Linked DNA regions of Arabidopsis thaliana. The protein of the gene in region 3 interacts with the protein of the main gene of each other region in a pairwise test. Each region holds a gene or a part of one and is shown on either strand. Other genes may lie near its edges.

Region 1 (7,346 bases), 9.4 Mb from region 3:
TCGTGGCGAAATCTCAGCCTTTCCTCATGCCATCTTAAATAAATGTCCAAGCTTGCCAAAACGATCCAATCACCATATATCACTCGGATACATGACGTGGCGAGATATTGGCCTTTGATTTGTCTGTTTCGTCTCCTTTTCGATAATTTATTCACTTCTTTCGATCCAAAAAATTAGAACATCTCAGAAGAAGCCTCCTTTCGATCTGTCAGCCATTGAAGAAACCTCCTTTCGATCTGTCAGCCATTGAAGATCAGAAGAAACAAGACTCACACGGTCAGCCATTGAAGAAGCCTCCTCTCATTACCTCTCATCAAACATCTAGATCTGTACCCAAACCTTATCCCTTTTTCCTTATTTCTCGCTTTGTCTATTCTTAATCTGATTAATACTTGTTGTTGTTCCAGGTTATAGAAGATCTGGGTTGTGTTATATGCTTCATTTTCTCCACAGGTAATATTCTTTTCATCCTTTCAAAAATAATTTCCGATTCGTCAGAGTGATATTGATAAGATGCGAGTACCATTGATTTTCTTTTGTGTATATTGAATGATTCTTATATTTCAGCGACCAGTTGGTGTTTGGTTCTTAGATTCATGAAGACCAATAGAGAGGTAAACGATTAGCCATTAGTAACTTATTTGTAATTCAAACGACTAACTTTCTTTAGTTTACTGAGATTAAATCTTTCGTTTTGTAGCAGGAAATTTACGTTGAAAGAAGCTTCAAACCAAACAATTCAACAATTCAGAATTTGATGGACATTGAAAGGTTCATTTTGCCTCACACTTCTACATCAGGTGTCGCAAGGCTCAAAATGAGGGTCATATCATGGGTCGGGCTTCAGTTCTACAACTACTGATATTGGGCCTTATCACAAATTAGTTATAGGGCCATTGTATCCAATATTTAATATCTCTGTAAACTTGTTTAATGGTTATTTTGTTCTAATGCCCATTACAACTAGACTTAATATCAATATAAATACTTTGTAAAATACTTTTTTTTTGTTAAAGAGTCACCAAATAGTATAAAATAAGGCATAAAATACAGTAATTATATGGATACTCTAAATACAGTATCCAACGACTAAATACAGTAATTATACGGTATAAATTACAATATAAAATATGGTATAAAAAACAGTATAAATTACAGTATTAAAATACAATATCCAGCGCTTAAATACAGTAATTATACGGATACTCTAAGAAAGCTATTGTTCAGCAACCCTTAAACTATCAATTATTACATAATTTAAATGCTATTATAAATTTAAAGTACTGCTATAGTTACGCAATTTAATAGCAAATAGTAATTGCTATTGTAAAATTAACAATAACACACAACAAAACGCTATATTAGTTGAAATTTTTATAGCAGAACCCAAACCGCTATATAAAGTGTTCGACCTACTATAACAAGCGCATACATAGTGTTTACTACAACGCTATAATATCTTATAATATTGTTTTTCCTGTGCTATTGATACTCACAATTCCTGTAGTGAATTCTTTGTCGCATAGTCTCATTCCGAATCTAGAACTTGACTGTCGTTTCATTGACTGCAAAAACATCGATCAGACTTGTTTTGTCTCCCAATCTCCATATTTTATTCACAATCATGTGAATGTTACCCACATGTGGAGCCTTTGTATTGAGAAATTTGCCAATCACAAAATCTTTCCATAACGGTTTAGCTCCTACAAAAACCTCTTTTGGGACAACAACTCTCCCTTGACCATCTACTTCATCAACCACAAACTTTTGTTTAGTAAAAACATGTTTTTGAGCTGCTTGAACGTATGACTTTTTGACTGTTGGACCCACCACCCTTTGAGTCTACGGAGATTCTCGTTGGCTAGATGCATGCCTCCATTGTGAAGTTTGATCATTGAGATCGATGGCCATGTTCTTTGAGATCCTCCTTCTGACTTACCTGAATCCATGTAGTTTGTATGCCTTTAACCTCTGTCGCCGGAGCTTCCTCCAGCTGCTCTGGAGAAGCCGACAGCTGCAGCATACATGCTGAAACTACAAAAACCCTAATCGAGTTAAGCTTTGTTCATCTTTCCACGTCTACAAAGCTTTTCAGTCTTACTAATCGAGTTAACAATATCATATTTGGGTTCAGACTTTCGGGTGACAAGTAATAGTATAACAAACAAAACCAAACCAAACCGTTTGGTTTGAGACAAAGGTTAACAAAACGATTGAACATATATTTTTTGGTTGGTTCATTTCCCTACTTTTAATAAAAATTAAATGACAGTCCCATTCACGACTTCCCTTTTGTGGACAAAAGCAAATATGAAATTTACTCGATGCTTCTATGTCCCGCTTAAAAAATGAACATAACTAAATGAAATCAAAGTCCCTAAATCCCAAAAGTTATAAAGACGACATTGCATGTTTTCTGTTTTTACTCAAACTACCAAACATAATGTCGTTTGGTTCCGTTGAATCATATGAATTAACGGTTGACTAACATCTGTTATATAAACTTATTTTTACACATAATTTAAAAAGTTAAGAAATCTATTTTTTAAAATTAGTCGTTAAGATAAAAAAGACATCAAATATTTTAGGGGAATTGACAAAAATAGCAATGAACAAGTTTTTCTTTCAGAAATAGAATATCTTTTGAAAACTTCCACAAAGAGCACTATTAACTTTAATTAAATATTAAATATAAAATAACTAATTTAATTAAAATAAATAAATAAAAGAAAATATTTCCCCCGCAAAAAAAAAATTGTCAAATTTTCTCACCAAAAAATTTAGGAAGGTAACTACGAAATTCGGGAAGGATTTCACAAAATTTAGGAAAGATTCTACAAAATTCAGGAAAGATTTTAGAAAATTCAGAAAAGGCTACACAAAAATAAAAATTATGAATATTGTGAAAACCTTCCTTAATTGCTTAGAATCTTTCCTAATTTTGTAAATCATGAATTTTTTTTTTTTGGTGGAAAAAGTTTGACAAAAAAAATTTCCCCGAAAACATTTTGGCGGGAAAGTTTTTTTGGAAATTCTTTTTTGATAAAGATACTTTATTATCTAATTTTATTTTTTGGCACTACAACTAAATAGTGTAGAAGTAATAATGTTTTTTTCGCTAAATACCTTTAACATTTACAAGTTTTTTTTATATATTTAGAACTAATGCTAAGCTTTACTTTAAGATATTGGAAATAATTATTTTTCATAATGTTTTAAACTCAAAACATTCATATATACCTAAATGAACTTTCACATATTTATGTTAATTTATAATAACGAAAAAATAACATTTGCATGCATGTATACCGTTTTTATATCTTGGTTCATGCACACCATTGTTTCCATTTCCAAGTGTCGGAAAAAATAAGTAAGAAGAACTAATGTAATGTCGTCATGACATGACACATGAACAATAAACAACAACAGATATAGTTAATAAAAGAAAAGAATATCTGAACGCACAAGGAATCTTCCTACTTCACTTTAAACTAAAATACGCCTACACTTCTTAGTGATCAATTAATTTAAAAATTATATATCAATTTTGTACAAACCTTCTACTATAAATTCCTTAATGCCCATAACTAAAATTCCATAGCTGCACTTACAACACAAGAAAAAAGAGACTACTAAAAATCATAATGAGGCCGACACCAAAAGTAGAAATCTGGAAGTCACCAGTACCATATCTCTTTGGTGGTCTCTTTTTGCTTGTTTTGCTTATAGCTTTGGCATTACTCTCATTGGTCTGCACACACCAAAAACCTTCTTCCTCTAGCAATAACAATCATATGGATGAAGAAGACGATGTCGGTGACAAGGACGCTAAGCCTATTACAAGAGAGTACTTACCTAAGATCGTGGTGATTTTGGCCGGAGACAATAAACCTACTTGCTTGGCTGTTCCGGTCGTGGTTCCTCCACCCACTTCCATTTTTCGTTGTAACTGTGACAATGTTACTGTCATCTCAACCTAACCATTAACATCTTTTTCTTCTTTTGCCGACAGAAAGATTAAGAGATTTCGACTTTTGTAATAATCAGCGGCAATTTTGTAACAGTCGATAATTTTTGTGGCAATGTTAGTATAGATTAAGTTTTGTGTTATTGCTTTTGTTTGTTGAGTTTGTTTTTGGAACAGCTTATGAATTATTGTTCTCTTTTTTTAGTACAATGTTTAAATTTAAAGATATATTAATTTGTCATACGAATTTTATTTTTCAAACATCATTTTTAGATCTTTACTTACAAAGTAGATGAGCATACTTTTTTTTTTTTTTGTCAACCGATATAAATTAGAACTCAAAAGAGTCAATCTCGAGGGATATTGTTTACATACGTGACATGATGCGGTACGGTACGAATCTTTCGTGCCAACTTATCCGCTTTTACATTTGCACTACGAGAAATTAAAGATAAAGAGAAATTTGTGAATTCTTCCCTATCACTTTGCAACTCCTCCAAATACACTGAAAACGCCGGCCATTCGGTTGGAGAAGACACCATCTTCACCAAGTCTGAACAGTTTGTAAAGAAAGCTAAGTAGATGAGCATACTTTGGGTTCGGAAATTGCAAATCTTTGATAAAAATTTTTAACTCATCGTAGAATGATTATATTGAAACGTCATCAATATCACTATGGAATTAATGTACCGATTGAAAAAATTATTATTAACAATATTTAGGGTTTGAACATGATAAATAATTCACAACAACAATACTAGTATACTCTAATTAATAGTAGAAGTAATGTGCATTAATAATGATAAAAGTATGTAAAATTTTAATGTGGGCTTTTCTAATTTCATTCACATAATGATAACTTTCACATTGATTGGCAGCTATTGGTGGACGCCGCGGCTTGAAAACGCAAAGAATTGGACGGTCCAAAGTGTGATCTTTTACTTTTGGACTATGTGGCTCTCAAGTGGTCGCCATCTTTTCTCGTGTGATCACTTTATTTGTGCGCTTATGCATATATACTAGATTTTAAAATAAAATATTTAATTTGTTTAATAAATTAAAAATAAATATAATTTATGTTTTATATTATCTAAATATACAATTTTTATATTTATATATATTTTTACTATAAAATTGCTATGTTTGATTTTTACTGTTTAAAAATATTAGAATAATAACATACTGTTTATTAAGTTAAAATCTAAATTATAAAAATAATTTAAATTTAAATTATTTTATTTTTTGATATTCTTTATTTTGTTTAGGGTTTAAGATAATATAATTTTATTTTGATTGTTATATCTAAAATTTTACCTGTGATATACCGTCTCGTATTACTATTCACTCAAACCCGTCCTACCATCTAATCTCGTTCAGTGAAATTAAACAATCTAATTAATTTCACCTGTAGTATATTCTCTCGTATTACTATCGACCCAAACCTGTCATACCATTTAACCCCCGTTCAATGAAATTAAACATTATTTTGTTATTTTTCTTTTAATAATATTTTAATTTAAAAGATATATAATTCAAATCAATCTAAAAATATATAATTCAAAATTCTCATATTATAGACATGTGAATGAAACCGTGCAAATTTTTGAAGAGATTTTTAGAAACGTTTGTTGAGCGCAATATAAAATATTTAAATTTTCAAATATGAATAATTAATACCAACTGATATATTGAGAGATTTTTGGCAACTATTGTTGAACGTAATATCTTGTATATAATTATCAACATTTGAAATTTAATGTCAATGACATTGTCTTGTAAATAAGTCTCTACTTCAGGATTTATTTTACTAAATGGCTGCAAAAATGTATATGTAGATATATATAGGTTTTTTGTTTTGAAACATTAAATATATTTATTTATTTACTATTATTATGATTCAAAGATATTTGTATTTTATGTTTCACTTTGGGTTTGATGTTATAAAAACATAAAAAATGTTTTGTTATTTTGAAAAGATAATAAATACAAATTTATTTTTTTAACTTCCGACTTTCTTATATTGTAAACGGATAATACAAATAGTTTAAAAGCAATTCCGGTGGTACAGTAAAAGTTTGATAAAAATTAGATATTGAAGCTTCAAATCATGAAAGTTTGTCTATAGTTGTGTTCTACTTGTAATTACACATGTAGAAATCTCATAGGTTCTACTTTGGACAAAGCTATTGTCAAAATTACATTTAAAATATCCCTCTGGGGTGGACTCCATTTTTTATTACTCTATATATCGCATCGGTCTAGCTTGTGACTGACTAATACTCTGTATGAACTCTGTAGTATCTTGTGTAGATTCAATCCACTCAGAAGCTTCTTGTACACCTTTCTGAGCCACCTTCCATGGAAAACAAATTATCTTTTGAAAGAGAAACTCGACTTTCATATACGCCACATTATCCAAAAACGCAGAAGACCATTAGAAAGGGGAAGATATTGTTGTTTTTGGAGCTGCAGAGAAACTGAATATTATCCTCACGGTTGTCAGAGAAAGTTGCTTGGCTGCTTCCAAGTATATTTGCACTTCTCCACACAACCTACAAATGACAAGTGGAAAGTAAATGATTAATCGTCTCTTCCTCATAACAGCATCTTAGACTGATCGGATCCGCCATAATATTTCTTGTTCTTAGCTAAGTTGTTGTGGATAAAGCCCCCTAATAAACATCGCCATAAGAAATGTTGGATCTTTGGAGATATTTTAAGTCACCATATATCTTTTTTAAGTTCTAGGTCTCCCGCAGGTGGTTGAATAACTTCGTCCTCTAGAAGGTCTACATTAGTGGCGACCCAATATCCCAATCTTACTGTGTGTTGAATTTTGCAAGTATAGGCCCACTCATAAGAGTCCCTTTCCTTTTGGAGAGCTACAACTCCTTAGCCAATGGTTGATCCTCCAGATTAAGCACGCCTTCGAAAACAATAAGATCTCGTTTTCACTTACCATCTTTCCAAAGATCTGCGACTTTCATATTATTATCCAAAACTGGTCCACTGGCAGGCCTTAGAGGTAATGTAGGAAGCCAATGATCTTCCCAAATTTTGGTATTTTGCCCATTACCTAATCGGACCCGTAAGCCTTGTTGTAGTAAAAGTTTGCCTTCTTGTATTGACTTCCAACCATATGATGCTTGTCCACCATTCTACGCTTTTAAAAATGTATAATTAGAGTAAGACAAACCTTTTTAAAGTCGAGCCATAAGGCATCGTGGGTTAGTAAGAATGCGTCAAGCTTATTTCGCAAGAAGTGCCTTATTAAATTGATGTAAATCTTTATAAAACCGAGAGTGCCTTCTTTTTTAGGAAGAGTCATTTTTTTCCATGCAACCCAAGGGATCTTCGTTCTGCCATTGTATTGTCCCCA
Region 2 (7,628 bases), on a different chromosome or scaffold from region 3:
AGCAAGAATGCTTCAAGTAAGTCAAGCCTTCCATGATATACAATGGTTCCTTTAGAAAGGAGTAACACGCGATCGATGAGAGACAGGATCTTGAAGCTAGGTTGGTGTATGGACAAGATCACGATCCTTTCTCTGGACGTCGCAATAGATTTGAGAATTTGAACGACATCGAAAGCGGATTTACTGTCTAAACCCGAGGTGGGTTCGTCGAGGAGTAGTACTTCCGGATCATGAAGAAGACTTAGACCAATTGAAACCCTCCTGCGTTCACCACCGGACAAGCCTTGACCTAGTCTTGTATGTGCAAGATGTGTTAGGTTTAGTTCTTTGAGGAGAGAAGCAACGACACTGGAGACTTTTGATAGGTTTTTTGGGAGCAAGAGAGAGGCGGAGAAAGTGAAGGTCTCGGAGACGGTGAGGAGAGGGAAGAAGGTGTCGTGTTGAGGAACGTAGGAGGAGATTTTACGGTAAGAAGAAGGGTTAATAAGGACGGAGTTTAGAAGTATTGAGCCTGAGGTCGGGGAGGTTCTTGCGGCAAGGATATCAAGGAGAGTTGATTTTCCGGCGCCGCTAGGGCCAATAATGGCGAGGATTTGGGAAGGATGAGAGGTGAGAGTGATGTTGCGGAGGATGAAGGAAGGTTGCTCCGCCGTGAGGAGGAGCGGTGAAAGAGGTTTGGCGTAGGAGATGGAAGAGGTGGATAAAGTGTACGACTCCATTTTGAGAGAAATGTTTAAAGGTTGGAGAAGGGAAGTGAGTGTTGTAAAGAGAATTTATTGATGCTTGAGTTTGGAATGTTTTGTATTTTCCAATGAAATTGACAATTTTTCAGTCTTTTTTTCTTTCTTATTTGTTTTTTGACCTTTTGGTTAATTATTTTGTCTTTTCTGTCATTTTGAATTTTGCGTTACATAGAACTCATCGAATATAATTGTGGTCAAACGGTGATGTAACCAGGATGCGACAGTAAGACAAGAGAGAGTCAGATATTGAAGAGATCATTAGAGATTCAAGTCCAAATTAAGATGGAGTTATTAGTGAGAAGGTGGATCCAGAAGAAACGAAAATTCTTAGATATATTCTCATAAAGAAAGCTTGCTAACAGTTACGTATACACACATTTATTGAAAACATGTAAAGATGGATCAAATGAATATGCATGTGTGTCATAGTGAATATATATTGTTGAGAAACTGAGAAGAAGAAAGCCAAAGGGGAATGCAGATAAAGGTCACGGGCCTGCTGACAATTATTACACAGAAAATTGCAAATCACGTACAAGTCTATTTCCCAATCTCTGCATCTTCCTTTGTTTGTTTGGCACACAATTTGCCAAACCATTTTTACAATTACATATTAATGACGTGACCAGTCCTGGATTTGAAGGAGTTTCTATAAAAACAATCTGGCTTAAACGTTAGTTAGTTATAGTTACTTGTGGTTGCTTTTACTTTAGGTATATCACCGTACATGCAAATGAATAAACTTTAGGAGTTAATAGGTGAAATAATTGTAAATGGTACAATTTCTTTATCTATGAAAGAAAATATTCTAAACAGAATTTGAATCATATTATAGTAACTTGTTATACATATCACATATGTGATATGTTTATATAGTTTGTTATACTAATAAAGCATTCTCTTCACTTTCTTTGGCCATCAATATATCCGTATCTCATGTTGTGTTTTTCCTAAATTTCTACACATAATAAAAAGTAGCATGTTGTTTCAAAGCCCCTTAACGGGTACAAAAACAAGAACAGAGTGCAGGGCTAAACAGAAGAAAATTGACATTAGGAAATCAGAAATAAGCCCATTTGAATGTGGATCAATATTGAAAAAAATGTGTGAAAAGCAACTTGCAATGTCACAAGATAAATATACCATGCCGTATATATCATAACTGCAAGAACAGACCCAAAACTGAAAAGTGAAAAGAATGTGTGTGGGTAAGTTAAAGAGTAATGAAGGCCGACAGGCGACAGTGGAGGAGGATGGACCAGACCAGGGTGCTGGGCGATGAGGACGTCTCGGCTAAAAGCTGAACCACCCTCCACTCTTAGGTCCCACAAAGGCTGGTCCTCGTTCACAAATGTACTCTCTCAAAGAAACACCCCTTTCTGCTTTATTACTATTCCCTCTCGTTCCTCCACTTTTTTGTAGCAGCTTCCACATGAATCATGTCATAACTGTTACAACATATTCCAAAAAAAAAACTATAGAATATATGTAGGAAATGTTAATCACTCTGTTTTTTTTGTATCTTTACTCTTTGTTTCTTCTCACTAGATACCGTCCTATACTTCTATTAGTGCATAACACTTCCTTAGACACTTGCTTTTACACTTTCCAAAATTATTTTAAACATGTATGTATATGATCATGTCGCCATGGTTGACGATATATACAATTATTGTACTTTCATCTCCTTTTCTCATCTTTTCTTTCAATAAACCTTATTTTTATTACCATATCTTCTCTTTTTCTTGCTAGCAAATGTTGATTATTTTATTGTAATTAAACTGTTGTTTATGACTTAATGTTCAAACTTCAAATAACATGTGTGAACTGTGAGGCATGCAATAATGATATTTGTTGCATATCTATCAGTTTTTAAAAGTGTCATCATAGCTCTATAAAGCTGTCTATTTAAATTAGATATACCTATCTCAAGTTCACTAATCCGTATCTAAAGAGAAAGAAAAATATCTTGATAACTAAAAATGAGTTTTAGAATGTACGGAGATAAGTTCTGAAAAAAACTGAACGAGCCACCTTTAAAAGTAATTAGATGAAGAAATAAACACAATTTGAAAAACTACATGAAAGCTAATCTCTGACTTGAGAAGTTGAGATATTTGGAACCTTTGTTAATTCTTTCAACACCGAAAACGATTTCTTAGGAAATTTCAAAAGAAATAAAAGTAAAGAGGGCAAGTATTCTGATTGTTAACCAAGCACAAAATGAAGCACCCATCAATCAATCTTTTCAACAATCAACATACCGATTCTAATTGGTCTGGCAGAATAATTACCGGAAAGGAAGAAGAATAGAACTCCAATATTTAATTATCGTACTTAATCTGTTTGTTCGAGAAACTAAATAATGGGTTCCTAGGTATATGTATTTATTTTATACATTATCTTCACATGTAACGTGCCTATTTAACGAGAATATGATTCCCTATGATTCATGCACAAACACAAATCAAATCCGGAATTTAAGTCGGATCAGGGAATAAATTATACAGCCCACACACATAATAATTTAAAACTAATATATACACAGTGAGGGGATTTAAAAGTAAAACTTATCTCCAAAGATTAATGTAAGCGACTAGTGATTGTGTTGGCATATTAACCGCACATAACATTGTTTGGGGGTTTGGATGCTTTAAAAAAGGTTCTGCCTTAGAAATTCCTTTTAGTTGACGTAATGATATATTATTGCTTACTGTAATACTAGTGGACACATTAAACAATGATCTTAAAGTACGAATGAAGAAATTAAAGAAAATGGAAGAGGAAGAATGTGGAAATGGAGAACGTAAGTGAAAGTGATTGGAAACTAATGGAATATCCGTTTTTCCTTTAGTCATGGTGGAAGCTGACGCTGAGAACCTACCCCTCCAATTGCACTACTCGCTCTATTACTTTATCTAACCAGAAGTTTTTTAAATACCCTTTACTGTATATAGTTCTTACAGTTTTATACATATTGTTAAGAACTCCATATATAGTGTATAAATGGCATTGAAAATAGTTTTGAGTTGAAACTCCTAAATGATATTAAATCTTGAGTTTAACCTAATTAAGCAAAGTAATAAAAACTGATTAGCCAAAACAAAGAGGTTAGTTAGTTCAACAGTTAGGTTAATGTGCAAATTGCCGTAACAAGATTATTAAATAATTCTTAACTTTAATTAACCTCTATCCATTATTGCATTTAAAAGATACTATTAATTAAAAGCCACCAATAAAAATTTAAACTTTATTAAAGTACTAAAGACGGATATATTAAACAAAACAATTATGAAAAAAATAAGAAAACCAACTTAATACAAGTTCAAATTAACATCCAAAAGAAGGAAATATACATGATTTTACAAATGTCTTCATTGAGCCACCACGTTAAACTAATATCATTTTTGAGGTTGATTAAAAAATTATTCATGTAAGTATAAATGCAAAAAAAAACTACATCTCTATATCAAAAACCAATCAATTGTTTACTCCATTATGGAAGATGATTCCCTAAAAAATAATTTCGTTAATACTCACTCTACAAAGTACAAATAATGAATACTGACTTTTTTCATACATTCCAAAAAAATACTGAAAACTGAACCATACACAAATCCATTGCATTAAGAAACAATCCATCCCATACGTTCCTCTATAAAACGCCTCTCACAACACAATCTCATCTCCCACCAATAAATTAATTACTTTTTTAACAAAGAAAACTTTCATTTCATTCACTCTTCCCAAACAGTAAAACACACATGCAGACAATGGAAGGACGACAATATAATTACCAAGACAGCATAAACGCGAGCTCCTCCATGGTGGTGCCTCACTCGCCTTGGCACTCTCCGGTTCCTTATCTCTTCGGTGGTTTGGCCGCCATGTTGGCTCTCATCTGCGTCGCTCTTCTCATCCTCGCATGTTCCTACTGGAGACTCTCCGGCTCCGCTGAGAGAGATCTTGAGGCCGGAGATGATGCCAAACCCGACAATGACACCAACAAAACTAAGCACACAGAAATGCCGGAGAAGTTTCTCGTCATAATGGCCGGTGATGTCAGACCTACTTACTTGGCTACGCCAGCGACTCGGTCTGAGCAAAGCTGTACTTGCGGCGATCATAACGAAGAAGAAGGAAGAAGAGGGTAGTGATCAGGTGGTATAGCAGAGCACCGGAGGTTACGGTGAGCCCTCCCTCATATTTTGAAAACAGAGCATTCGTTACGGAGTACTCCGGAATCGATCCGTCCGGTCTTTTTGTGTCGGTTCATAATTACGCCAACCTTACGTGAGCTGATGGGATATAAATTAGAGTTTTATTTATTTCGTATGGTTTTAGTTTTTTTTTGGTTGTCTCAGTTTTCTTCAAATTTTTCCCGTTTATGGTTCATGAAGGAATATCCGGTACATGTAAATTTTAAGAGTTTGAATAGATGATTGTTTTGGACTAGCGATTAAAGATAGAACTGAAGCTTGACAGACAAAATAAATAAAAGATACAACTAAAATCGTGCGTCCTTAATTCAGTTTTCGTGTATAGAGAGACAAAAATGTTTTCCCAGTGAGAGATGTACAGACATGATGCTTACGAAAGAGGGAAAGAGATGTGTTGTGAAAACTTCTAGTGATGTGCCAACAATGACGCATGCCGAATATTAAGCTAATTCGTTGTGGCGAACCGAAGTTGAGAATTATTCTCTTTGTACCTTTATTCCTAAATTTCTAGATATATTACTAAATATCATCAAGTTTTATCAAAGAACAAATAGCCTCTCAACTATACATTTCTCTCTTTTTTTCTTTTCCAGGCATATCCATTTATCATTGTTTACCATTCACTGAAATTGAAAGCATTATCGTTTATCGTTGGACAATAAATTGTCGTCTTTTGGATGATCAGTACAATGTGAACAGTGACACATATAATGGATGGAGACTACTGCAACTAACTGAATAATTGTTTTTCTAGTATGGGCAATTGGTCACTGGTTGTGTCATGTGTTTACGTCCTTTCGTTTTCTTGTCCAATTCCTACTATGTTTATTATGTGAACGTGTCAAAACAAACGAGCTCGCAAATGATGCCAATAAAACTGGAAAACCAACAATAATTGTGGAAAAATCGACATTCAACTGGCGCCAAGTCTTATGATCAAAACAAAAACTTATAGAATCGATAGTGACAAGAGAAGTATGAACCTTTTTTTTTTACAAAGAACGGGTAGATCTGTACAGATTCATTGTTCGACAGAACTATAAAACATTTTAAATAACCATCAAGGAAAAAGTGCCAAGAACTTTACCACGATTTGTATCGCATCAAGCATCATACTAAATACGATATAAATAACCAACAAAAAAGAGAAGAAGTTTGTGATGCTTATCGCCTTCTTACAGTGCTGACTAATTGCAGCGGTTGAAAATGTTTAGGGCTAGAGACCGAAATGATCCATCATGTGGAAGACAACATCTTTGCCATCAGAATGTAACCAATATGTTTTCACCTACACATTACAGGGAAAATTATGTCAAATGCTCTTAACAAAATCGCTTTTGAGTTTTGAGTTCTTATCATTAAACTTGCCTGGATGGTACTATGCGCGACGTATCGTTGCTTGCTATTGTGAAAGCTGACATCTACTCTTTCCCAAGATAGTTGACTGAGTCCATGTATCATTTCCTCTACATTTCACAAAAACCATAACAGGACGAAGTTAGTGATTCTACTTGTTATAAAGAAGACCAATGGGTAATAGATAGCGAGGCAAGGATCTACCACATTCCATAAATCTGATAGAGATATCATTTTTTCTAGCAAATTTTGAAAAACAAATAGTCAAGTGAGAAATAAAGCAAAACCTTCAAGATCAGTATCTTGCTCTGTTACTACTGTAGAAGTTGACTGGCAACTACCATTGTCCACATTTCCACGTTCTACGTATACAATGTGTGGATAGTTTGGATCCGTTGCTAGAAGATTTGGCTGGAAGATGAGCAGGGATAATAGTTATTGATAAATCCCACAACGTCATTAAAGATGTGCACAAAATATAATAAGTAAAGACATACCTTTGGGAGTTCATTTGGACGGCGAATTGAAGATGTCCTCCATCCAACCATAGCTTTCTCATTAGTTAAGGCAAACTCTTGTAAATGATAGAAATAATCAAAAACCATTGACAGTCTCTTTAAAAACATGTTTTTTTCAGGGAAGGATACAATCAAAATTCACGTTTGCATATGCCACACGACGCTTGAAAGCATTTAAAGCTGATCTGTTGAGGTCATAAGAAGAGATGATGAGCATATCAATCTGCAAGTCACCAATGAAAACACCCAGAAGCTAGAGCATTTACATGAATTTCAAGTCATCAGAATCTGTAGCCATCCGGATAAGAAGTGGAGCATTTCCATCATCGTTGTCCACCAGAAACAAATGCTTTCCGGTCCTCCCAGCAGCCAAATGTGCAGTTTGGGATGCTGTTCTTTCAAGAAACGGAAGGCCACAAAGAATCGGGAACTGAGGGAATGAAGACAAGAGTAAGCATGTCATACAGATTACAGAAAGAGATTATCTATATATATATATGCAAACCTTACATAAACATTTGACCTAGGCATGCAGTCTAAAACATCAATTCACCTGTCTATGTCCTCTTGAACCAAGATGAGGCGTTGCGAAAGTTATAAAGTTCATAGGTTCTAACCCAGCAATTTCGCCTCCTCTTGCGCTCTTCTCCTTCGAAGGAGAGTCCAGAGAGTCGACTTCCCCTGGCTGTTCATAGAGCTTCCCTATGGCATATCTTGCAACAAGACCTCCTAATGAATGAGCCACAAAAGATATCTTCTTCAGCCCACTTCTATGCTTAACAACACCCAAA
Region 3 (8,860 bases):
GATTCCAAAAGGTTCTGGATTTAAAGCAATAGCTTCGTCTGATTTCATTGTTTGTGGTATTAGAGAAGAGGATCTTGTTCTTGATTGTTGGATGGTTAATGGTTCGTCCACATTAGCTTACGATCCTCCGTTAGAGCTCTGCAGTCCAGGGATGTGTAGAGCTGGTCCTTGTAATGAAAAAGAGTTTGCTTTCAACGCAAGTATACTCAATGAACCTGACCTAACGAGTTTGTGTGTAAGGAAAGAGTTAATGGTCTGTTCACCTTGCGGCTCGGATTGCTCTCACGGATTCTTCTTGTCAAGTTCGTGCACCGCGAACTCTGATCGGATATGTACGCCTTGCTCGCTCTGTCAAAACAGTTCTTGTTCGGATATATGTAAGCTTCATAACAGCAATTTTCCAGATAAGCATTGGCATCAACTACAGAGACTTGTTCTTATCATCGGGTCTTGCGCATCCGCTCTATTGATCATTATAATTGGTTGCTGTGTTGTGCCACGGATTGTCACTAGTCCTAATAAAGAAGACGGAGCAGCGAATCAATTCAAATCTTGCATAGGAAAGCCCGATTTAGACACTGATCAGCCACTTGAAAATGTATCCCCTGCTCCATCGGTAACGCCTTTTGCTCAAGTGTTTAGACTCTCTGAGCTTAAAGACGCGACCAACGGGTTTAAAGAGTTCAATGAGTTAGGCAGAGGAAGCTATGGGTTTGTCTACAAAGCCGTGTTGGCGGACGGGAGGCAAGTAGCGGTTAAGAGAGCAAACGCAGCAACCATAATCCACACAAACACTAGAGAATTCGAGACAGAATTGGAGATTCTCTGCAACATTAGGCATTGCAACATTGTGAATCTCCTTGGTTACTCTACCGAAATGGGAGAGAGGCTTCTTGTTTACGAGTACATGCCTCACGGTACGCTTCACGATCATCTGCACAGTGGGTTTTCGCCATTGAGTTGGAGCTTAAGGATCAAAATCGCTATGCAAACCGCAAAGGGTCTTGAGTATCTTCACAATGAAGCTGAGCCGAGAATCATTCATGGCGATGTGAAGTCTTCGAATGTACTATTGGACTCGGAATGGGTGGCGAGAGTTGCGGATTTCGGGCTCGTGACATCGTCGAACGAGAAGAATTTGGACATCAAAAGAGATGTTTATGACTTTGGAGTTGTGCTGTTAGAGATTTTAACCGGTAGGAAACGTTATGATAGGGACTGTGATCCGCCGGAGATTGTTGAATGGACGGTTCCGGTGATCAGAGAAGGCAAAGCGGCGGCGATTGTGGATACGTATATTGCGTTGCCGAGAAACGTGGAGCCGTTGTTGAAACTTGCTGACGTGGCAGAGTTGTGTGTACGGGAGGATCCGAATCAACAACCAACTATGTCGGAACTTGCGAATTGGTTGGAACATGTCGCAAGAGATGCATTGATCTTCTAGCTTCTTTTTTTTAATGAGTGTTATTATTCTTTTATTTATGAATTCTGGTGAAATTGTATAATCAAAAATATACATTCAAGATTTGAGAAAATAATTTTCAATGAGAGGAAACATTATCCAAAAACATTAATTGTGATTAATTACACTTTGCTCAGCTAAAATTTTCAAAGTTGGTTTATGAATCTTTGAAACTAAAGAGGTGCTACTTCAATTGTTCTGTTAGCTGTTTATATGAATTAAAGGAGAAAATTAATATATGAACAGATTATTTTTATTTAGTGTTTTTATATATAACCATTTTTAACAAAATATTTAGCTAATTAGTTCATGCACACATTTTGTCTACTATATATGCAGTGTTAGATGAACAAATTCGTTTTATGTAGTGATTGTGTTTAACCATTTTCAACTAACATTTAGCTACTTAATTCATCCACACAATTTGTCAGACTACATAATTCACATGACATTTACTGCTCTGTAATAGTATTAAAGGAAACAAATATGAAAATAACCTACTAGTAATTCTTTTGACAATATAGAGCTTTTCTTAGTCATAAAACAGCTTTTGTTTCAAAATTGGAAACGATCTCTCTTTTTGGGATCTTACACAAAGTACACATGTACGAAATTCCTCATTGATACATCATTCCTCATTACGAACCACACAATTAGATCTAACATATATATATTTGTTCCACTCAAATACAAATCTTGTTAGGGTAACATCACCTCTGAGGAAACGACAAAATGAAGTTAATGAAAGTATTTGGCTTTAGATGGATTCGTAGATAGTACGTGACACGTTGCTGATATGCGGACTTCAGATAAATTATCGGCTAGTATCATAAAGATAATGTAAGGGTCTAAGCATACTCACTAATTAACGAAATATCTTCTTAGAAACACCTGAGCTCGATCTATTTCAATCATAGTGACTCAAACCTAAGAAAATCTTTGACATATGTATATTACATTAGTGTTCCAAGAAGATGCTACGTTCGACGTCATATTTGTTATCCTGTAAATTATAACAAAGATGCATCAACATTCAACAGAGAACAAAGTTTAGTTTTTATATATATATATATGTCACGATCATAGGTCTACATAACTATAAATTGATACAATTGATTTTACAGATTTTACACAACATATGTATCCAACTTGATGATATATCCGGTCTGCCGTTTCCCACTATATATAGAGTATTTTATAATTGATTCCCATTTATTTTTCTTAGTTTATATATGTTCGTCTTTTGGAATTGCTTAATGAAAGTGTGTGCGAGTGGTTAGGTATGCGATTCTATTATGTCTCTTTATTTATTTTTGATTTCGAATCGCACCACTACCTTCGTATGGGAATGTTTCAATATGATATCTATCTGTATATGATCACGAATATAATTTGATTTTGATCAAAATCAACATGTAATATAATTTCACGTAATATCAAACATCCAATAGTTACAGTTTAATCTGGCTACTGAATATATATATATATATATATATATATCTTCCTTTGAAAGAATGTTTATATATTTTTATTCTTTGTGACGTTTTTTTTAGCTAATGGTGATCTCTTGACTCTAAATTCATACAAATTTTTTAAAAAATTAGCTTAGGGTTTTGAAAATATAAAAACTCTTTTAGGGCTTATGTTTTCTTTTTGGTCAACGGAGCTTATGCTTTTGTAGAAACACTAATTTTTAAGACATTAAAGTATACATCAGTTTTGTTTTGTGTTTTGGGTTAAACTTATACACAATTATTCAAAGACGACAAAACAAGTTTAAATATGAATTCCAAAATACCAGTTCATCTTTTCGGACTACTGTATATAAGAATATTATGTTGGCAAAAAGTAGGTTTATTATAGGTTAAAAATAAAAATAAAGTATAGCCTACTTTGTTAGGAATACATATTAAACTTCACACTAATTACTAGTAGATATTTAGGCAATATAAGTCTAGAAGCGGAAAGTAGACAATGCCTATTGCCTAGTATACATTTCGGACAGCACAAGTGACTTTTAACTCTTTAATCACACAGAAGACAGAACTATGCAATGATCGACAACTTCTTCACTCTGTAAAATATTTGGATTTCTCAATTAATGGTTTCTGAAAATAACATCATCTTTTTAAAGCATGAACAAATTAATCCTAATGTAGACCTAAATAAAAATCTTAAGACCATCTTTATCAGTAAAAACAAGGAAAGATTCTAAAAAAAAATAAAAATAATATTTTAATTAAAACAGATACATTAATTATTATTTAATAATTGAATTAATAGTATGATGACACTTGTCCAAATTGGATGAGAATAGTTTCTCAAAGTTTCTCGGAAGAGAAATTCAACTCTCCTTCTCTTCTACTTTTTTTTCCTTCTATCATACTTTTTCTTCTTTAATTATTTTTTTTTTTTATTGGGTATCTTATTGAGATACTTCAAATGGAGATGCTCTAATAATTAATGGGAATGTGTTTCTAATTAAAAAGATAACATCTTTCTTTCTATATTTTTGTCGTCATATAACACACCTCAACTCTTTTAAGTACTCGTGTTGAATTTTGTTTTTTGAAAAGACAAAACTCCTTATAATCAACGTAATTATTAATAACAAGGAGAAAAAAAGTCCAAAGAAAAAAAAAAGAAAGCTTTTTGGGAACATAAACACCATCGAAGGAGGGTGGGAGGTGTTTTATGTTCATGGGTGGAGCTTCTTGGCCAACCTGACCCCATTCATCATATCATTACCCACTTTCTTCTCCTAAATTATTCTCTCTTATCTCTCTCTCTCTCTTTTTATTTTCTTTCTTTCTTAATTCATCTAAACTCTCTCTGCTTTTGCTTTTCGTAATTCCTTACATTTCACTCAATATTAATCCCCAGAATCTCCGATCCACCCACAAATTTAGCAATTTTCTGAGATTTGATCATTTGGGTCACCAAAAAATCTTGTCTTTTTGATCTGGGTTTAACGCCAATAACATATGGGAAACATTAGCAGCAGCGGTGGTGAAGGTAGACGCCGTCGACGGCGAAACCATACGGCGGCTCCACCACCACCTCCTCCTCCTCCTTCTTCTTCTCTTCCTCCACCACCTCTACCTACAGAAATCCAAGCTAATCCCATCGTTTTCGCTGCCGTTACTCCCTATCCTAATCCTAATCCTAATCCGGTTTACCAGTACCCTGCTTCTTACTACCACCATCCTCCCCCGGGAGCCATGCCTCTTCCGCCGTACGACCACCACCTCCAACATCATCCACCGCATCCTTACCACAACCACTCTTGGGCTCCCGTGGCGATGGCCAGATACCCTTATGCTGGTCACATGATGGCTCAACCGACTCCTTACGTTGAACACCAGAAAGCCGTCACGATTCGTAACGACGTTAATCTCAAGAAGGAGTCTCTTAGGCTTGAACCCGACCCGGATAATCCGGGTCGCTTTCTCGTCTCCTTTACGTTTGATGCAACCGTCTCCGGAAGGTAGATTTCACTTTCTCCCTTTCGTTGATTTCGTGATCCATTTGAGCAGATAACACGTGAATTTTGTTGTGTTCTTCCTCGTGACTATGTAATTTGGATCTTCTTATTGCAATTTGATCAAATCTTCTTCATGTGTAATTGAATTAAGCTTATGTTATTATGTTGGACTTGTGAAAAATAGGATTAGTGTCATTTTCTTTGCTAAAGAATCCGAAGATTGCAAACTCACAGCGACAAAGGAAGATATACTGCCACCTATCACTCTAGATTTCGAGAAAGGACTTGGTCAGAAGTTTAAACAATCATCTGGTTCTGGTATAGACTTTTCGGTCTTTGAGGACGTTGAGCTGTTCAAAGCGGCCGCAGACACAGAGATCTATCCATTAGCGGTTAAGGCAGAAGCAGCTCCCTCAGGTGGTGAGAATGAAGAAGAAGAAAGGTCGGGGTCGAAGAATGCGCAGATTACTCAAGCGGTTTATGAGAAGGATAAAGGAGAGATTAAGATTAGAGTGGTGAAGCAGATACTATGGGTTAATGGAACGAGATATGAGTTGCAGGAGATTTATGGGATTGGGAATACAGTTGAGGGGGATGATGATTCAGCTGATGATGCTAATGATCCTGGTAAAGAATGTGTTATATGTTTGTCTGAACCACGAGACACCACTGTTCTTCCATGTCGACATATGGTAAGTGAAAGCTGATGATTTACTACTATTATGTGATGATGGACATATATATAGATGTTAAAAATTGTTTGGGTTTGGTGGTGCAGTGTATGTGTAGCGGATGTGCTAAGGTATTGAGGTTTCAGACAAATCGATGCCCCATTTGCAGGCAACCTGTTGAAAGGCTTTTGGAGATAAAAGTTCACGGTAACAACGGAAGCGGGAATAACACCGGACAGGGAGAAACAGTTGAACAAGAGTAGCTAAACACGGCCGAGTATGGATTGAAATGCCATCGAAATATTAGTAGTATATGCATGTTTGATCCTTGTATGTTAACAACAAAATGTGTGATTGTCAATTCATAATATAGAGATTACGAAATCATTTGGAGTCATAATGACACAATACTTGAAACATTCTTCATTAGATACAACAACAAAGTAGGCAGTTTCTTACTTAGCTAGTTGCTCAACCGGAAGTTGCAGTGGCAGGTGAAGCCATTTTAGTTGCAATAAGACAGAAACTTAAACATGGAAAACACGAGATATAGTAGCGGCAACATGACATTCAATTATATAGCTGACCCCTTCGTTTCTTATTTAAAAGGGGCAATCTCCAACGTTTTGTGGTCAAATGGGCCTGCATTTCTTTTTATCCGCCTCTACTATTGGGCCCTAAGCCCGAGTTTTCCGGTTTCGTAAACAATAGGTTCATCATACTTGTGTAATTTCAATGTTTTGGAAAATTCGGTTCACAGCTTCGTTAAAACATCAATCATCTCATATCTGTGACTCGTAGTTTGGTTAAAAAATGATCCCAAAAAAGAGAGAGACAGATCCAAAAAATCATCTCATATCTGTGTCTCTCTCTTTGTTTAAATTTAAAATGCTTGCCGTAGACAAAACATACAAATACGAGGCTGTAATAAACAAGTATTTAATATAATAATAAGGACAAATAAACGGACCAAATTTAGGCCGAGAAAATGGGACATTGTGATATAATCTCAAAAAGAATTGAAATTTGTATGATCGATCAGATATCTCAATTTCAGGAACCCAGAAAGAGGGACTTGTCTTTTACCTCCAAAGGGTTCCTGCCGTTTCTTTTCTACAATTTTTCTCCTGCTAATTATCAAATTTTTCTTCTGATTTTCATTGTTTGTTAGAGATTCTTCTTCTCCTCTGCTTTTCTATTCTCTGGGAGCTCGATGATGGATGATAAAGCTCGCAAAGAAGAAGAACATCATGTGTCTCACCAACATAATCATTCTCCTCTGCAAAGGGTCTCTCGTTAATTCCATTCCAATCTTGTTTCAATCTATCTTCCATTGATATTGATATTGTTTATAAATTTCTTTCTTTTTTTATTTTGCTCATGGTTTTGATTTTGTTGGTTATCCTCAGAATTTCATCAATCTTCCATGATTTTAGGGTTTAGGGGTTTAGTAGATTGTTTAAGTCGAGTCTCTTGATAAAAGATTAGGCTTTTAAGTTATTTGTCAAAGATCATGCCTTTTGTTTTTTTGGAATCTGAGAAATTGGATTTGAAATTAATCTTTCTTTGGTGTTTGCAGGATGGAAATTCTGCTGAGATTGCACAAGGACAAGAGCTATCATCACCGGGCCGAGACCTATGGAGGCGAGGTCTTGTGTTAGATTTACCATCAACAACACCTGAAGATACTACAAGAGATGATCTTTTTAGACGAAATGCATCTTTAACTTCAAGTCCTGTTGCCAAAAGAGTCAACTTTTCTCCAATGTCCAGCCCTAGAGTCGGACAACGTGGTGCATCCTTGAGTCCTTCTTCTTCTACTTCTTCTTCTTCAAGAAACAAACCTAATAGCCTGAAGAATCTAATCCCCAAGTTAAGCTTTAAGAACCGGAACAGCAATAACGATAATGTGGATATCGAGAAAGCCGCGGATTTGGGCTTTGTGTCCTCCCCTTCTTCAGGAAATGGCAGGGACAGGTCTACATGGACTCTCACTAATATTTTAACTCCAAGATTGAAGAAAACTGAGTCTCTTCCTGTAACCCCTATAGCTCACTCAAATCCTGAGTCCACTCACGGGAGATTTGCCGTTGATCTAGTTACTTCCACGGTGAGTAACTTGACGGATCGTTTCATTTAGGTTCTCATGTGAATTCTATTGTGGTTTGTGCTGTTATCTCATTGGCAAGGGACATTTTATTGTCTCGTACTTCACCTTGGTCTCAGTAGAGTAATCTTAAGTGATGCATTGTGCTTGTAAAATAAGTTTAGCTAACTAGGTTATCTTCTGCTTCACTTCATTGTTGGTTTGACCAATTATTTTTATAAAAATGTTTTCCCAACAGAAAAAAGGGCCTCCACTGCCTATCCACCGTTCACGCTCTGTCCCAGCATTCAACAAAGATGGAAGTCAAAGGCAATTAGGTGTTTTCCGGGTGATTCCAACTCCAAACATGTCTCCAACCAGAAATACTATTAAACTTAACGGTTAGAAATTGTATTTTTTCATTTGATTTTTAAAGCCAAAAAGACATGAAAGTTTGATATTTTTGTGATTATATCCTTGTAACAAACCCTGTGCCTTATATTAGTGAAATGTTTCAGACGCGAATGTTGATGGAGCTGAAGATGTTCCTGAAGAAGAAGCTGTGTGTAGAATCTGCCTTGTAGAATTGGGAGAAGATTCAGAAGCCTTCAAGATGGAATGTTTGTGTAGAGGGGAACTAGCTCTTGCCCACAAAGAATGTACAATCAAATGGTTCACCATTAAAGGAAACAGAACATGTGATGTGTGCAAGCAAGAGGTTCAGAATCTCCCTGTGACCCTTCTTCGCATGCAGAATTCTCGGGGTAGTATTGGAGCTCCAGACGCCGAGGCTGCACACTACAGGCAAGTCATAGTCTAAACCATACCTCTTGAAAAAAATTCAAATTGTTATGTATATTATTGACCGGTTCTCGTCCTCTCAGTTTATGGCAGGATGTTCCAATTCTTGTGATTGTAAGCATGCTTGCATACTTCTGTTTTCTCGAGCAGCTTCTGGTAAGATTTAGTGAATTGTTTACTCTTACACTTGTTAGTATAAAGCTTTTGTAACATCGTCTTGTTCTTAATACTTTTTACAGCTTACAAAAATGCAATCTGGCGCCATTGCAGTTTCTTTACCATTCTCGTGCGTTCTTGGTCTTTTTGCTTCGATGACGGCAACAACAATGGGTAAGAAATGATTACAGTAAACAGTT
Region 4 (7,394 bases), on a different chromosome or scaffold from region 3:
TGGTAGAATAAGATCGTATCTATCTATAAGTGGACCTTTGTGGCTTCATTCTCTTAAGATATATTAGTCGACACATTATACATGTTAAATTATATATATTAATATTAATTTGAATTGAAAGTAATAAATTATTATTGTTTTAGTTGATACAATAAAAGAAAATTTTAAAAACTCTTACCAAATATTAAATTATTTTTGTTTCTACAAAATAACTCTAATTAGTCAATAGTTAATACAATTGAACAAAAAAAAAATAATTTGATATGTTTAAAAAGTATTAATAAAAGATAGTAAAAAATAGAAAATATTCAATAGTTTCTGAAATGAAAATAAATTTTTGTTTTAATTGTTTATATTAACTAAAACAATCGACATAAAAAATAATAATATTAATATTGATGAGAGATATGGGTGCCTCGTCATCAACGGTGCAGAATCTCTGTTCTCTGAGTCGGACCCGTATTCGATCGATTTTGTGTCGACCGGACGGCAGCAGGATTAGCCGGTGAGAAATTCCAAACCAGCGGGTGGGTTAAAAAAGGGAAGGGAGCTAGGAAAAAGTTTCACTTTTCTTGAAGTGAACTATGGATCCTGCGCAGCGAATCTTCAGGTCAAGGTGGATGCTTCTGTGTCATATCGCTGCAAGTTGGTTACTACAAGAACTAGTCTTACCATAGTCCATAGATGGTTGTTTGAAGATTCCTCTGCAAGGTAAAGCTACGAAGGAGATGATCGAGCTTAACGTTGAGAAGTTCATTGATGTGGGAACAGTGGATCACCGCAGTGAAACTCCGTACTCAATTCCTAAATCGAAGCTGACTCTAGAGTATTTGAGAGACCATACTTATTTTCGTGCAAGAACCTCCATGATTGCAGCAGTTACAAGAATCCGACATAAGATGTGTCTTGCGGCGAAGAATAGGGGCCGGACTGCATAATACTATTATTTCAAGTTATTCACTGCCTAACTCTATTGTCTTGTTTATTTTAACGTGTTAGCATTAGAACCCTAAGGTTCGATATATTACAGTGATCAATATGACAACATGTCATGTAAATGTAATTCCACTCTCCTTTTTTCTTCTTCTTGATATGTAATTCATTCTCTTTTCTTCTAATTCTAAACTTTTTTTTTTCCACTCATTCTAAACAATTAATAAACTCATTTCTTATAACTTTTTCCTTTTGAACCCAAAAAAAGAAACTTTTTTGACTAGAATCCGATCAACTATGGAAAAGGACTATTGTGAATAATCTCCTGAATTAACTAGAAAGTGCCAAGAGCTCCATTAATTTTAACTGGATTCAAACATCAAGATCCCAAAAAGATGCAACACTTGTAATAATAATGATAAATTAGATTTTAACCGCGATACACCCTGAGACGATTTATTTTCTAAAACTAGTGATTTTTAAATTAAATGATTATGCATTATATTGCAAATGACATCATGTTATAAAATATTTTTTTATATAAATATTTTAATATATAGTTTGCAATTGTTATAATTATATTATATGATATTTTGGAAGAGTTAAAAAAATACCAAACAAAGTTGATAGGTAAATCATAATTTTTAATCTTAACCATTTGTTTTAATTTTAACCAGATTCATTATTTTAACTGGATTCAAACATCAAGATCCTAAAAAGATGCAACACTTCTAAAACTAATATAGATTAATCAAATCAAAACATTACTAAATCAAAAGTTGAGATCACAATCATTAGAACAAGTCAATCGAGCTAAAAATATCCAACAAATGTGTCAAACTTCCATATAACTCTGATCTCATGAACTAAATATGGATTAATCATCCTAATCTCCACTTAATCCGGAACACCCCATATTCCAACACTTTACTGACATGTGTCAGAAGATGAAAGCTCCATGAGAGCTATATAAATTATGGAACCTTTGGAGGAACTTAACTCAATTCAATCTCATAATCACACTTTTATTCAAAGAAAATACTTAACTTTCTTTTCACTAAAGCTATTCGAAAATGTCAAGCAACTCCCAGAACATTAGCTTCCAAGCTGGCCAGGCCAAGGGCCAAACTCAGGTAATCCTAAACTATAATATTATTACTAGGGCCAATAAAAAATGATTAGGGCTCTAAAACTTAAAGTAACAAACGTTTATTCTTAAAACACTTATAATTTTTAAAGCAGGGGAAAAGTTTTTAAATTAAGTATTTCAATAGCAATTTTGTCTGAGATTTTTTCTTGTAGTAATTAATTGGTTGATGGTGTTCAGGAGAAGGCTAGCACCATGATGGACAAGGCTAGCAATGCTGCCCAATCTGCCAAGGAGTCTCTCAAAGAGGTTCGTATAATCTAGATAATTTTCATGATTAATTAAATCGAATTCTTGTAATAGTATGGAACTAATTAAATTGTTTCATTTATAAACATTTGTATAGACCGGCCAGCAGATTAAGGAGAAGGCACAAGGAGCTACCGAATCAGTGAAGAACGCCACCGGCATGAACAAATGAATACAATAATCATATGATTCATTATGTTATTTTTTTTACGAATAAAAACAATAATTCATTTTTTGAAACCTAAAGATTAGGTTCAACGGTTTGATTATTCAGACTGTTGTTTCTTTCTTTCTTAATATTATTACTTCTTCTCTTGGATTTTTGTTTCTGTTTATTATCTCATGATCATGTAATCTTTGAGATCCTTTTTCATTATAGAGATCTCTAATAAAATAGCATTGTCTTATGATCGTATTTTTCTTTTCTGCTTTCATTCAAATTATACGAAAATGTGGCTGAATTGGCATTATACCGGTATGGCATATGTCTTTTTGTTAGGGTGGAAAAAGAAAACGTATAACTGAAAAACCCTTCAAAGTAAACAAAAAAACAAAAATTGTTTTTATTAACTAATTCGTTTTATTAATGAGAAAGGCAATAACCCAAAAAAAAAATTCAAACCAAACCGCATCAAATAAATAAAAAGTTCTCATGATTTTACATCTTATATAAATTATACTTAGTATGGCCACCATTTGAGATTTATTAGGAGGAAATATATAATGGATATTTGTATTATATCATGTATTTAAATAATGTTCCCTTCGCATGGCTCTCAAAGCCTCTTAATTAAGACAAAGTTGTTGACAAAAAAAAGAGACTATAAATCATTATTACTTACTTTTATAATTTATTAGGTAAAAAACAAATACAAAAATTTTCAGATGACAAAAGATACAAGAATATAAAATTAAAAATTAAGAAACTAAATATACAATCTTATATGTGAAAAAATGATACTAACAATTGATTATATAAGTTATTATAAACTAAAGAAAAGATATATCTTGATACAACAAGTTTAGCTTCAACTACACAAATATTTTCACACAAAAAAAAAACTACACAAATATTTAAACAATTCACTCAATGTTTTTTCTCTCTCTTGATTTACCTCATTCTTGCATATTCTTGTACATAATATTTTTGTTTTTAATGGATGTGGTTGGCGAAAAAAATAAACAATATTGTTTTGTTTAGAAAAATGTAAACATATGAAACTGGGTTACACAGTAATTTATATGTATCTTGTATACGGACTCGATAGAATTAACATAAACCAAAAAATCAATTATTCAAGAAAATTTCATCCTCATAAACACAGGATCTAAGCTTGGTAAGAAAAGAGATCAAAGAATCTCTTAAGTGTTCAAGAAAGAATAATTACTTTTAGGACAAAAACTCAGAAGGCAACTTGGCATCTAAAGACTGTGCAAAACTCTCACTTTTAGGTAATACGATATAAATAAATAACCCCCACAAACTTGAGAAGAGAAAAGCTGGTGGAAGAGGAAAGATCAGATTTCAAGATCAACGAGGCAATGAGTCTGCATAGGGATTCAATGGTCCCGGTTAACTCCAGGTTAGAGAACATGGACTCTCCGATTCTCTCTAAGATTTGTGCGTGGGGCGTAATGCTGGGGCTCTTTGCGCTTTCATTATTCGCTATGGCCTATGCTTGCTATCATAAGCAAACTTCGAATTCATGCATCGAAGAGAAACAAGGAAAGAAGCAAGTGTTGAAGCCACTAGATATGGAACCAAAGATTGTTGTAATAATGGCTGGTAATGAAAACCCTACCTTCTTTGCTAAGCCAACCCAGATCAATGCATGACCAGTATTGTCTTAAATGATCATGATGTCAAAAATCACAAGATTAGTGTTATATTTTTCCATTCATTCGCTGGACGAGACCATTAATATTCTACTGATATATTTATATATACTTGATTAAGTTTTCTATAATAATTTTTTTATTTTTCTTTGTTAACTTTTCAATAAGAACAATTGTTTATAAAATTTTCTATCAACAGCAAAAAATAAATTATGGCAAAGATATATATGTCTAGTCTAAAAATTCTTCAATAAATAATTCATAGAAAGCAAAAAAATAAAGAATACTATCAAGAAAAAAATAAAGAAGATAGTTAAATATTAGAAGTGGATACAATATGTGTTTGTGTTCGGTTTAAGTAAAACATAACATATAGAGCTGCTGACATGAAGATGGCCAAGACAGACCCCACGGCTACGCTAACTTGGAAGAAACCAGGCTCCATATTGTTTCTTACGCACTTCAAATTTGTTCTTTCTCACCTTTTTTTCTTCCGTGTCTTCTTCACTTTCTCGGTTGCAAAAGATACTTATATATGTATGCAGGGCCGGCTCAACAAAACGTGGGACCCTGTGCTCGTTAATTTTTTTTCTAATATATGTTCTATATGTTTAGAATTTAGTTTGATTATACACTACTGTTTGTAAAATGGACCTTGATTGCTTAAAGAAAATGATTGAAAAAATAAAGGACCCTGTGCATTAGCACCAAGGGCACACCCTCTAAGCCGGGCCTGTATGTATGTATTGAAACAAAAGTTTAGATTTTGTAAAAAAACGGTGAAATTGGTAAGTTTTACATTATGCTATCAATAAATTTGGAAATTTTACATTTAGTCGTTAAGGAGCATTAACTAGGAAAAATAACAAATATTCCATTTTATGGTAGCTTTATTTAAAGTGCTAGATCCTCGAATATACTGTGTTGTTCGCATATGTGTGTGTTAATATTACTATCGAATATATTGAACTATACACTTTTTGAGTCAATTTGGTTAAGTGTCTTTAATTAGTTATACACATGTTGATCATAGATCCTCTTTCACCGATTAAATCACATCAGTTTTATTGGTTTTGCAACTACTTTAATGTTTTTTTTTCAGCAAACCATCGTATATGCCAACAACAAGGTCCATCTTATACGGGAAAATGGATTAAAAAAAATCTCACATGAAAAAACCTACGTACCTTATGGTTTTTAAATGATTTTAAACCCTCGCTTTTTACTAAAAGATTTTGTGTAAAAAAGACCTAAAAGTCGTCCATTTCTATAAATTTATCATGCACCTCCAAAAAATGTATAATAATATTACAAAATCAAAAATAATATATAATATAACATTTATACATATATTGTAAATATATATACGATCACATATATTTGATTTTCAAAAATAAAAAAGTATAGTTGAAATCTTTGTCTTGAATGCTTTGATTTTGATATATTACTTATCAACTTTTTAAAAACTTGAAAATAACAAAAAGGAGTTATTTTGGAAAAATAATTCGTAAACTAGAATTTAAAAAAATAAATAACAAACTAAGTTGTTTTTAAAAATATAATAATTTATTTGGTATTTATTTAGTTTATTAATAAGTCTAATATTAAAGGTTATTTTATTATTTTTAAAAAATTTAGAGTTTAAAAAATCACAAAAAAAGTTGAGAAAGTGGGTGATTGGTTTAAAATTTAGAATTTTTGCTGTACAGATTTTACTGTAGCTGTGTTGGATGTAACTGTAACTTTTATTGCTGTAGAATTTTTGCTATAAATTTTTAACTTTAAATATTTATAAAAAATGGATTACTAAATATAATAGTTGTAATAAAAAAAATTTTATAATAAATAAAATACCTTGTATTACTAATTTAAATATATATATTATGATGATATATAAAAAAAGGCCTATGAATTCTTAATAAAATAAATCTAAATTTTACCTAAAATTAATACATAAATTCATTGCAATCTCAATTTTTTCATTTAGGTTTAGTAATTATCAGTTTTTTTTAGAACTTATCTTTTTTTTTGTTATATATTTATAATTTAATTTTTTGTATTTATCTAATGAATTAAAATTTCTACAGCAAAGAAAATAGGGCTTTGAGAATTTACTCTATTACATCCTTAAAAAAAAAAAAAAAATGAGCTATAAATTTAAAAATAAAGCTACAACACGATTGATTAGTAATCAAGGCTTTAAAAAAAGTTAAGGTTATAAGTCAGACTTAAAACCCAACCAATCATGCACAAAATTTCTACATATTTTTCTGAAAAATAAGGGGTTCTTAACCTATTTTTCCTTTTTATACCAACAATATGGTATGTCGAGATAACTTTACTAAGCGCTGTTTTAAAATTAAAACTATTGCAATATAGCCTAGGTCCATGGACGTAACTTCTTATCTTTTATCTCCCTCCTATCTTTTAAAGAGAGGAAGCTTGATTTTTTTTTGTCTTCGATTAAAATTGGTTCTTTCCGGCTAAATACATTTTTTCTATATATTCTCGGCTAAGTTCGAGTTCTCTCTTAGCCGCTTTGGCTATATTATTGTTTGTTGTTTTTGTTTTCTCCCTTTTTATAGTTATTAGATCTCTTCTAATTTAGAAGAGATAAATGTAGTAGTGTTTGTTGGGAGAGTCAAAGATCATCAATTGCTTGATTCTCTTGCAAGGAAATATAAATCCTCATACCTTCTTATTGGGACCGTATTTTGGTTATGGATGCATGTTCTCCTTTTGGCTGGGAATCGTGATGAGTGGAATTCAGTGACTAGTGTAGAACTTATCAGAAGAGCGTGTTTTACTACTGATTTGATCTCTTACTTTGCCGCGTCTTCCAGTGATACAAGAATATGATGACTCATGGATCTCTGTTCTACGCCCTCGAAAAATTTAGCTAAAAGTGGTGGTATGATGAAACGGAATAAGCAGCTAGAATTGGTGGTAATTTTCATCGGAAAAATTGGATTCAGCCGATGTTTCAGCTCTGGTGGATGAGTCATTTCGTGTCTTTCCACCTCCAACTTGCAAAACAACACGTGTTCTTACGAGGTCAGCTAGTTTTTGCTCCGTAATGCTTTATTTTGGATCTATGTTGGACTTTGTTTTTTTTGTTTTTTTTTGTCGAGACTTTGTTTGTTTTGTATTATTGGATTCTGATACACTTAGCAATTTTCCAATTTGGAAATCAAATACGGGATGGACGACCAAAAAAAATAAAAATACA

The links.
Region 1: the proteins of LOG2 (region 3) and GDU6 interact in a two-hybrid assay, tested with the Arabidopsis thaliana proteins (2 studies listed by BioGRID).
Region 2: the proteins of LOG2 (region 3) and GDU2 interact in a two-hybrid assay, tested with the Arabidopsis thaliana proteins (2 studies listed by BioGRID).
Region 4: the proteins of LOG2 (region 3) and GDU7 interact in a two-hybrid assay, tested with the Arabidopsis thaliana proteins (2 studies listed by BioGRID).

The regions. Positions count from the first base shown.
Region 1 is NC_003074.8:12,348,865-12,356,210, forward strand, and holds GDU6 (glutamine dumper 6), read left to right. Parts: upstream 1-3,607; 5' UTR 3,608-3,644; coding exon 3,645-3,980; 3' UTR 3,981-4,169; downstream 4,170-7,346. Other genes in the region: QQS (qua-quine starch), read left to right, coding at 597-614, 701-862. UniProt on the Arabidopsis thaliana protein: Probable subunit of an amino acid transporter involved in the regulation of the amino acid metabolism. Stimulates amino acid export by activating nonselective amino acid facilitators.
Region 2 is NC_003075.7:13,111,642-13,119,269, forward strand, and holds GDU2 (glutamine dumper 2), read left to right. Parts: upstream 1-4,386; 5' UTR 4,387-4,507; coding exon 4,508-4,897; 3' UTR 4,898-5,314; downstream 5,315-7,628. Other genes in the region: ABCG4 (ABC-2 type transporter family protein), read right to left, coding at 1-719; AT4G25770 (alpha/beta-Hydrolases superfamily protein), read right to left, coding at 6,248-6,429, 6,607-6,730, 6,817-6,869, 6,967-7,022, 7,104-7,267, 7,391-7,628. UniProt on the Arabidopsis thaliana protein: Probable subunit of an amino acid transporter involved in the regulation of the amino acid metabolism. Stimulates amino acid export by activating nonselective amino acid facilitators.
Region 3 is NC_003074.8:2,993,422-3,002,281, reverse strand, and holds LOG2 (RING/U-box superfamily protein), read left to right. Parts: upstream 1-4,026; 5' UTR 4,027-4,446; coding exon 4,447-4,949; intron 4,950-5,130; coding exon 5,131-5,638; coding exon of another isoform or gene 5,639-5,653; exon of another isoform or gene 5,654-5,724; coding exon 5,725-5,880; 3' UTR 5,881-6,103; downstream 6,104-8,860. Other genes in the region: CCR1 (CRINKLY4 related 1), read left to right, coding at 1-1,444; AT3G09760 (RING/U-box superfamily protein), read left to right, coding at 6,831-6,905, 7,197-7,727, 7,963-8,104, 8,222-8,507, 8,588-8,660, 8,744-8,834. UniProt on the Arabidopsis thaliana protein: Acts as an E3 ubiquitin-protein ligase, or as part of E3 complex, which accepts ubiquitin from specific E2 ubiquitin-conjugating enzymes and then transfers it to substrates (in vitro).
Region 4 is NC_003076.8:15,522,243-15,529,636, forward strand, and holds GDU7 (glutamine dumper 7), read left to right. Parts: upstream 1-3,822; 5' UTR 3,823-3,871; coding exon 3,872-4,165; 3' UTR 4,166-4,333; downstream 4,334-7,394. Other genes in the region: AT5G38750 (asparaginyl-tRNA synthetase family), read left to right, coding at 408-505, 547-616, 699-938; AT5G38760 (Late embryogenesis abundant protein (LEA) family protein), read left to right, coding at 2,007-2,066, 2,261-2,329, 2,427-2,501. UniProt on the Arabidopsis thaliana protein: Probable subunit of an amino acid transporter involved in the regulation of the amino acid metabolism. Stimulates amino acid export by activating nonselective amino acid facilitators.